Linked DNA regions of Mus musculus. The protein of the gene in region 2 binds, or shares a complex with, the protein of the main gene of each other region. Links are inferred from orthologs where the notes say so. Each region holds a gene or a part of one and is shown on either strand. Other genes may lie near its edges.

What was found.
Region 1: Tmem67 (region 2) and Tmem237 share a complex: the UniProt entries of both Homo sapiens proteins name them as parts of the tectonic-like complex. The link is inferred for Mus musculus from reciprocal best matches to the Homo sapiens genes TMEM67 and TMEM237.

The regions. Positions count from the first base shown.
Region 1 is NC_000067.6:59,116,737-59,121,318, forward strand, and holds the start of Tmem237 (transmembrane protein 237), read right to left. Parts: upstream 3,071-4,582; 5' UTR 3,000-3,070; coding exon 2,967-2,999; intron 1,271-2,966; coding exon 1,239-1,270; intron 606-1,238; coding exon 595-605; intron 169-594; coding exon of another isoform or gene 106-168; intron 1-105. Other genes in the region: Mpp4 (MAGUK p55 subfamily member 4), read right to left, coding at 4,517-4,582. UniProt on the Homo sapiens protein: Component of the transition zone in primary cilia. Required for ciliogenesis.
Region 2 is NC_000070.6:12,085,092-12,089,400, forward strand, and holds the start of Tmem67 (meckelin precursor), read right to left. Parts: upstream 2,847-4,309; coding exon 2,624-2,846; intron 910-2,623; coding exon 821-909; intron 1-820. UniProt on the Homo sapiens protein: Required for ciliary structure and function. Part of the tectonic-like complex which is required for tissue-specific ciliogenesis and may regulate ciliary membrane composition.

The DNA.
Region 1 (4,582 bases), on a different chromosome or scaffold from region 2:
CATCTTATATGTAGATGTCAGAGGACAACTTGCCCAAGTCAGTTCTTTCCTTCTACCTTGTGGGTTCTGGGACTCTGACTCTGGTTTTCCACTTGGCATCAGTACCTTCACCTACTAAGTCATCCTGCTGGTCCATCCTTGAATTATTTTCAACAAACGAGGAACATACTAAGTGAATAAAACGTTTGGAGTTGTTAGTGTAGCACAACCTTGCCTATCCTGACTGAAGGAGAAGAGAAAAAGTACTGTCTATTACAGAGCTATTAACAAGTCAAGGCAACTGCAGAGAGCAACTTATTACTGTATATCACACATGACTTTCAAATGGCAGTCACGGAAGATTGTGAAAATTATTATCATCATCATTTTGAGGCAAGGGCTGACTGTTACCCACACTGGCCGTCAACTCCTAGGCTTAAGCAGCTCTCCTCCCTCAGCCTGCAAGGGCCTGAGACTACAGGTGTGTGCCACTGTCCCTACCTTGAAACCTAGGCAGTCCAGGTAGGCTCGTAAGAGCCAGTGTACTCATCTTCACTCTTACTTCAGAACAACAAATGCATTTAGGACTGTTTACACTACAGTAAACTAACTCACCTTGGATAGCACTTCACGTGACCCCGGCCAAATGTAATCAGAAAGGGGGGGGGGGGGAAAGAGAGAGAGAGAAAGAAAAAAGAAACTATTAATTGGATATCTATTTTATTGTCTAGCTAAAAATTGACTTACATCATTACAACTTTAAAAATAAAACTAGCTTTTACATACTGCTAGCCAGTTTATAAACTAGCTTATTATTTGTAAATAGTATATTGTTTAATAGCACTGCTAAAAGTATTTTGAAAGCACAAATACACATTCCCTACTGTCTATTAATCAGAGGGACTAAGCAGATTAAGAACTTTCTTTGTCACCGGTTATAATCGGTTTAAGCTCTGATGGAATATTCCACAAACAGGAGGGCCTTGGAGAATCCTGGTAAATAGAATCAGCACACCCAGGACAGACCCATTCCTCCACCGTGCTAGAGTGACAGCTTTCTGTAATTATTCATAACAATTATTCTCATGATTTGAATTTAACTTTTACCACTCACTTCTTAGGAAGACTTTTTAAAATTCCAGGAAGGATTTTTTTTTAATGAAGTATTGTAGGTTTTCAACCATACTATTTGATTTTTTTTTTCTTCTTACTTTATATTTTTAAAGTTCAATAATTAAATGACCGTAAACTGTTTTTACCTTGGCACAGGTGGGAGTGCTCGTGGAGGACGCTATAGGGGAGGGGAGAGGCAAACATCTCGTCAATAAAAGCTGGATTAACCTCACCTTCATTTATCTCAAGCACCACAAAGCTTCTCCTTTAAAAGCCCACTGTCCAGATGTTATCAAATAAAATGGATCAGCAATTCTCTTCAAATCTTTGGAAGATTATCAGTGAAACCCGGGAGGCGGTGATGTAAACTGGACTGCTGGGTTTAGATCTATTCTGCCATTCCTACACCCCATGTAAAATTCTTTTCTTCTTCCACTTCAACCAGTCTGGCCTATTGTGAGCATTCAGAACAGGATCAAACAGAGCTCATCTCCCTTTACAGACCTTCCATTAGTGGTTAAGTATTGGAAGATAATGTTGCATGCTCAGATAAAACTAGACCATGCCATATAAATGTGTGTGCATGCATGCTTGTGTGTGTGTCTGTGCATGCATGTGTGTGCATGCATGTGCATGTGTGTTTGCATACAATAAATAACCATATATAAGGAATGAAGAGTGATGTTTTACTTAGGGAAAGCCTCTTTGATGTTATCTGAGCTGAGCCCTTCCTGACAAAGGTGCCAAATTTACAGGGAATGAGGAGCACATGTTAAGGCTTTCAAGAAAGACAGGGCATGAAGGGCTCCAGGTAAAGAGCAGCCAGGCAGAAACCAGTGACACAGGACAGAAGGCAGACGTCAGATTAACTATGACCTCGCAGACTAGCAGAAGGAATACGGATTTAGTTCTATTAACTAGGAAGCCAACTAAGGTTTTATGCCACAGAGTAACATGCTTTTTTTTTAAGTTACTTTAAATAGAAATAGGTAACATATTTTAGAACAGGAAGTATTTGGGGCTGGTGTAGTTTACCCTGTTCTTACTTAAGAAAAGTCCTGCTTGCAAGCTCAGGAAGCATTAGTTAAGCATTCTGAAAATTTTCAAAATAGATGGCTTAGCCATTAAGAGCAGTTACTGCTCATGCAGCAGACCTGGGTTTAGTTCCCAGCACCCACAAAGCACCAGTAATTCCAGTTCCAGGGAAATGGACAGCCTCTTCAGGTTTCTGTGAGCAACAGGCACACAAGTGGTTCATATATTGGCAAAACACTCAAAACAAATACATTTTTTTTTTTTGGTTTTTTTGAGACGGGGTTTCTCTGTATAGCCCTGGCTGTCCTGGAACTCACTCTATAGACCAGGCTGGCCTTGAACTCAGAAATCCACCTGCCTCTGCCTTCCAAGTGCTGGGATTAAAGGCGTGCGCCACCACTGTCCGGCTACAAATACACCTTTAAAAGAATTGATCTCTAAGAGCAGTGCCTAGACGTCGATTTATTAGCTCGGGTATTTCATGCTGCTTATGGAAGGCACTGATTCCAAAGGCTCACATTTTAGATATTCTTGCTTGTCCCATTTCGCAATCCATGGTTGTATTCACTCAAACAAATTCGTGAGAATGCTACAAAATTAGGACACTGACGATGTCCTAATGGAATCCAGCAGTCAAAATGACAACTGGAATAGAATGGTGGTCCTACAAAAGCACTACTATTCTCAAGATGCTATGAAAGTGGGACCCAGTCCTCTTGGTATTTCAAAAGTCCCGCAAAAATGAACCATCTCACCCATCTAGAAACCGCACCTCTAAGCCCCTCAAAAGAAGAACCGCTGAACAGGCGGAGACTAAATTCCCAACAGCTCAAAAGTACCTGAGGCTCGCTAACCACCTGCTTCTTCCCCATCACGTCTCCAGGGACCGCAGCAGAGCTCAGGGCACCACAGCCGCCCGCCCCGCCCCGGTCCGGCCCGCCCCGCCCCTCCTGCCCAGGCGCGCAGGCGCAGAGCGTCATCGGGCTGCGCCTCATGGCTGCTGGGCCCGGAGCGTCCCCACCCGTCCCACGGGAGGTATTGGGGCTACCGGAGCCGAACCCAATCTGACCCCTTCGAACTAGGAAAACCTCAGCGTCGGCCGGCGTCCCCAGGAGCGGAGGGGGTTCACCCACAGTTTCCCGGGAGGTCATCGTGGTTTGCGTGGGGGTGGGCACGGCGGGACCAGACTCGTATTCAAACTCCCCACCGGAACATCCTCCTCTCTGACCGAGAGCCGCCCGGAGGCGTCGCCATGGCAACGCTGACTAGGGCGCCCGGATGTTGGGTGGACCTGATCGCCTTTTGCGGGGCCCGCCCTGATGTACAGCCCCGGTCCGCCCCCGCCGCACCCCTCGGGCAGTGCTGTCCCCAGATTCCCGGCTCGGCGGTGGTCACTGCTGGTTAGGACACCTCCACTTCGCCACACTCCGGGCCAGGCGCCCCTCGTCGCTCACCGCTTGGTCCTCCTCCAGCGGAGGCCCTGAGTCGTCCCTCATGATGCTTTCCCGCGGGCCTCCCTAGGCGCAACCGCCGGAGCCCGAGGCCGGCTTCCCGCGACGCCCGGCCTCCGGGGACTTGTGGGAGGAGGCGGCTTTGCGGAGCCTGGAGAGGCCGGCGTCCCCCACCTGGTTCCCGTCTGCCAGGGTGCTGCCTGGAGGGAGATCTGTATGACTGAAACAGCGAGGATCTCTTTCACTGGCCTGCCCAGTTTCCTAGATTCCCTGTAGGCCTAGGAGTATAATCTGAATGTTCAGTTCTGATAGTTCCTTCAGTGGGAACAGTTATAGTTTAAAATAGGTAGAATGGAGGGAAGTGTGGATATAAAGAAGATGAACAGACATGGGTGCAGTGGAGCTTCGGATCTAGGGAGACCAAGACTGTATCAACATCCTCGTTTTGGAGCTCATATACAGGCTCCAGGACTAGTCCACTTTGCTGATTTGGAAATAACAGTGTCATAGGTTTCCTTATTAGATAAATGTGTACTTGTTAACCGCTCTTAGCTTAGTTAGTCAACTAGGCACTTTTGTAAAATATAAACAGAAATAAGAAAATATTTTACAAAGTAAAATACAGTTTGTCATTAAGTAGACTGGTTTATTTAGAAGAGTTACATCTTACAAAACACCATATGAAATCTATAAAATGCTCACATTCAGTGACAACATTGTCACATACCTGCCATTAGCTCATATGGGGAAACATCGGGAAAATGCCTGAGAGCCAAATGAGTAGCTCTGTATATGTATAGGATGCTATTTATAGCTATACAATAAGGACTTCATAGTCGCAGTTCTAATGGGTCAAACACTGCTGTTTTCAATGGCAGCCGTTATTCCGGATCTTTAGGGCACACTATGAAGCTTCCAGCTTTAAGCAGGACACTAGATTAAGATTCAGTGTCAGGGGAAACCCATGCCTCTGGCACCCACTGCAGTTCTTCCTGAGCCTTCTG
Region 2 (4,309 bases):
AAACATATTTCTACTAATTGGTAATTAGCCCATAAAATTTGCCCACTAGTCGAATTTCCCTGAACCATTATGTAATGAGGAAACTAAGCAAACTTCGAATGATTCCATTTCTATTGATGCAACCGGCAATGCATCGACTTGCTGTACCTAATGTAGCATGAGGATTGCTGAACCTCATGTAGCATTAGGAGGATCAAGCATCATTTAAGACGATCAGCACAGTACATCTAAGACAGCGAATGCCATCTACAGCAAAGACATTTTACCCCGAATGGCTCTACATAGGGAATACTCAGCTTCTCTTTATACCCTAGTTATTCTGTGAGGCAAACAGAAAGATTTTTTTTCACAGCTTTGTACTTGGGATATCTGACTCAACCACTTTCAGAACAAAATGAATTTGTCTTTTTTCCCCAAAGTTTTCTTCTTTGCTTTACTGATCTCTCAAAATGTATACTAATAAAATTACCTTAATAAGTTTAAAGTAGCGGGGCGTGGTGGCGCACGCCTTTAATCCCAGCACTTGGGAGGCAGAGGCAGGCGGATTTCTGAGTTCTAGGCCAGCCTGGTCTACAGAGTGAGTTCCAGTACAGCCAAGGCTACACAGAGAAACCCTGTCTCAAAAAACCAAAAAAAAACAAAAAAACAAAAAAACAAAAAAAAAAACAAAACAAAAAAAGCAAAACAAAAAAACAACAACAAAAAACCCAAAACAAAAAAAGTTTAAAGTATGTGAACAAATGGGAAATTATACTGAAGTCTGAGAGATAGACATTTATGACTTTTTCTCAAAAGTTATTTTAAAATAAATTATTCATACCATGTTTTCTGGACACTTTTTACAAATAATAGAAGGTCCTCCATTATTAGAGATCATATGATATCCTGGTAGACATACACAGGAAGTTCCTGAAAAGAAAAAGAAAAAAAAAAAAACAAAGCTGATATTGTCCTTAGCAAACAAAACTCCAAGACACAAACTTAACAGTTCTTAGGATTTTGAAGCTTGGAGTGGTGGTGTATACCTGTAACCTCAGTATTTAGGAGGAAGAGGCAGGAAGTTCAGGCAGTACTTCAAGGGTATCCCTGCTCACAGACAGTGCGAGGCCAGACTGGGCATTATATGAGAGACAACAGGTGTCTTTGTCTGTCTGTCTCTCTGTCTGTCTGTCTGTGCATGTATATGTGTCTATGGGTCTGTGCGTATACATGCAAACACTGAGTGGGTTAATGAATTCTATACTTCGGCTTCTTGTTTAGTAAAATGGAGAAAAAAACAGGACCTACCTAATAGGGTCAAAGTTTAGAAATATGTCTGGCATCATGTTGCTACTTTTTAAACTGCAATTATTATTGAACTATGAAAACTACTTACTTGCTCTAGGAATTACATTTCTGCATCACTAAACCATATGTATGTGTGTTTAGTGAGTTTTAATTTTGTCAATATCTTATTGGAAAATTGCTTTCATTCAAATACTCTTTCTCTAGAAAGAAAATAAATGTTGTTTGTAATTACAAGTAGACTCAGCTAGTTAAAGAAAGAATTCTCTAAGGACTAAGTAGAGCCAGCACCTGTAGGAGTCTATGTACAACACACACGTCTTCATTCATTGTCATGAAAGCAATACAATGCAGAACACGTTTGCTCTTCACACTCCATCTTCTGACACAGTGATCCGCACTGCCTTAAGTGAGACTCTACCAGGCCTAAAGCAGGAGAGTTAACCAGTCTGAGATTCACAGCATTTTAGACTTCAGTAAATAGGAAAAGACTCATTCTGAGTAGTTAAGGGAGAACTAGACCAATCGATGCAATTAAGTCTAAAAGGACAATGTGAGCAAACAGAAGTCATCAACAATAAAAGGGACAGGTCCTAAGGGAATATGTAACCACAGATGCAAAGCCACGCGCTGGGAATGCAGAGGTAGAAAGTGAGGGAAGCCAGGTGTCCTGGCCCACGCCTTTAATCCCAGCACTCAGGAGGCAGAGGCAGGCGGATTTCTGAGTTCGAGGCCAGCCTGGCCTACAAAGTGAGAGTTCCAGGACAGCCAGGGCTACACAGAGAAACCCTGTGTCGAAAAACAAAACAAAACAAAAAACAAAAAAGAAAGTGAGGAAGAGACAAGAGTTCTCTTAGTTTCCAGTATATGTCACACAGATGTCACAACATCTCGGTTTCAGTTTCCTTTGCTTACAAAATCTGATTATAGTCACAGTTGCAAACAGCTTTAAATATCTTGAATTTGGAAGTAGAATTAATGGTCACAAGAGTTTACTAATTCACATTTCTTCCCTTGCTTTCCTGTCAGGGTACCTCACTAGACGCCTCAGGTTATTTCTTTTCTATTTCTATTCTACTTTTCTTAGGCGGCTTTCAGGTGCCATCCTAAGGATTCCCTGCCAGAGACTGACTCCGGGGAATGAGTTCCTGGAGGAGGGTAGGGTGGTGGCGCCTGGGTGACTGATCTCATTGTGTCAGCCGTATCCTCCCAGGAAACCCTTTCTTAGGTTTGATAGCTGTGCATTTTCTGAAACATTCTCCAAATAAAATGTCTGGAGTGCTGGCTGTCAGGAGTGCTTTATTTTGGTCAGAGTCCATCCACCCCCAAACCGCCTCACCTAGTGCATCCCGCCGCTGGTTGGCGCCACAGGGGGCACAGGAGAGCGCCGAGATGTCAAAGTACTGGTTGAAGTCGCAGGTCTCAGGCCGCCGGAAAGGGAAGGAGAAGATTTGTGCCCATGAGACTTCGCAGAGAACTAAGAGAAGGTAGGCGGTGCCAGTCCGGGATGAAGAACGAGATCTGACCGCCATGGCCGCCACAGGCCTTGTACGCGTCACCATGGTACCCATATCCTGGGTCCGCAGTCTCCAGCTCCCCAGCAGCCTCCTCGGTGAGTCCGCTGAGCTGATTGGACAACAGGGTTCAGAAAAAAAAAAAAAAAAAAAAAAAAAAACTCAACCTTGCGACGCCTGGTTGCTAGGTTACCACGCACGCGGGAAACAATGGATCAGACATATGCTAAATAAATTAGGGGCGGTTATTTAAAATGTATTTAAAACTCTGGGACGCAGTCAATTTACCGTGTCAGGAAATACTACTACAGCAATGGAAAATATATGGTTTTAGCACTTAAAAGTGTTTCATGAAAGTGGCAATCACACCTACATGACAGTTTACCCAGGGGATTAATTTTGACAACAAAGGAGGTGCCCTATGTTTTTACTTTTTTTGTTTGTTTTGTTCTGATTTTCGAGACAGGGTTTCTCTGTATAGTCCTGGCTGTCCTGGAACTCACTTTGTAGGCCAGGCTAGCCACGAACTCAGAAATCCCGCCTGCCTCTGCCTCTACAGTGCTGGGATTAAAGGCGTGCACCACCATGCCCGGCTTTGTTTTTACATTATTTAAAAAACACTAAGGGTAGGGATTGTTTCAAGTCCTGAGTTTGAGTTTTAGCAAAGCAATACAAACAGAAACCCTCATTGATTTTATATATAATACCTTTATGACAAAAGTCTAGGAGAAACCTTGCCTACTGAATCTTGATTTCATACTTTCTCTGTATTGTGCATAAAGCACCCTACATATACACCTCATCTCACTTGGTTTGAGAACCAAATTTGGATATACATGAATATTGCCTATTAAAGTGCACAGCCTTGCAGACTGTTAGCGCAACAATGCCTAATAAAAGCCTCATTCTCCCTTTCTCCCCTGTCCCTGGTTCTCCTCCCTCTCCCAGAGGATAACTCTATTTCCCATCCCAATAAACCCCCGACTGGAGAACTGCCACATAGTGTGATTGTTGGGAATTGTCACATACACCTAACAGCACAGTAATAAAAGGTTGAAGGGATGCTTTCTGTAATACATACTTTAGGTAAGGCAGCCCGAAGGCCTGTTGTAAATACAGCTTGCTTTTATCTGCCTATGCAACTGCCCTGTTTTTCTCAGGTTTAACAGAAATCACAGGAGAGGATGGAAAACTCTGCAGCTTTCCACTTCCAAAGCGGTTCATTATGATGAAAAGAAAAAAAAGAAACCTTTTTGATTTGTATATTTTACAATTGCCTCACATCCCCGCCCCCCAGTGGAAGTTTTCAGGGGTGGGTCAGGGGCTCACAGATTGCCTAGAAATAGAGCATGCACAAAACCATACTACACTGCAGAGAACAGCCTTCCTCACTCACACCCGCCAATCACTGTAACCGAAGCAGTACGTCTGCGCACGCGCGTTCAGAGCGCCAAGGGGTGGCTGGTTGGGCCTGGATTGCGCATGAGCAGAGAGACGGTGCATCGGTTTGT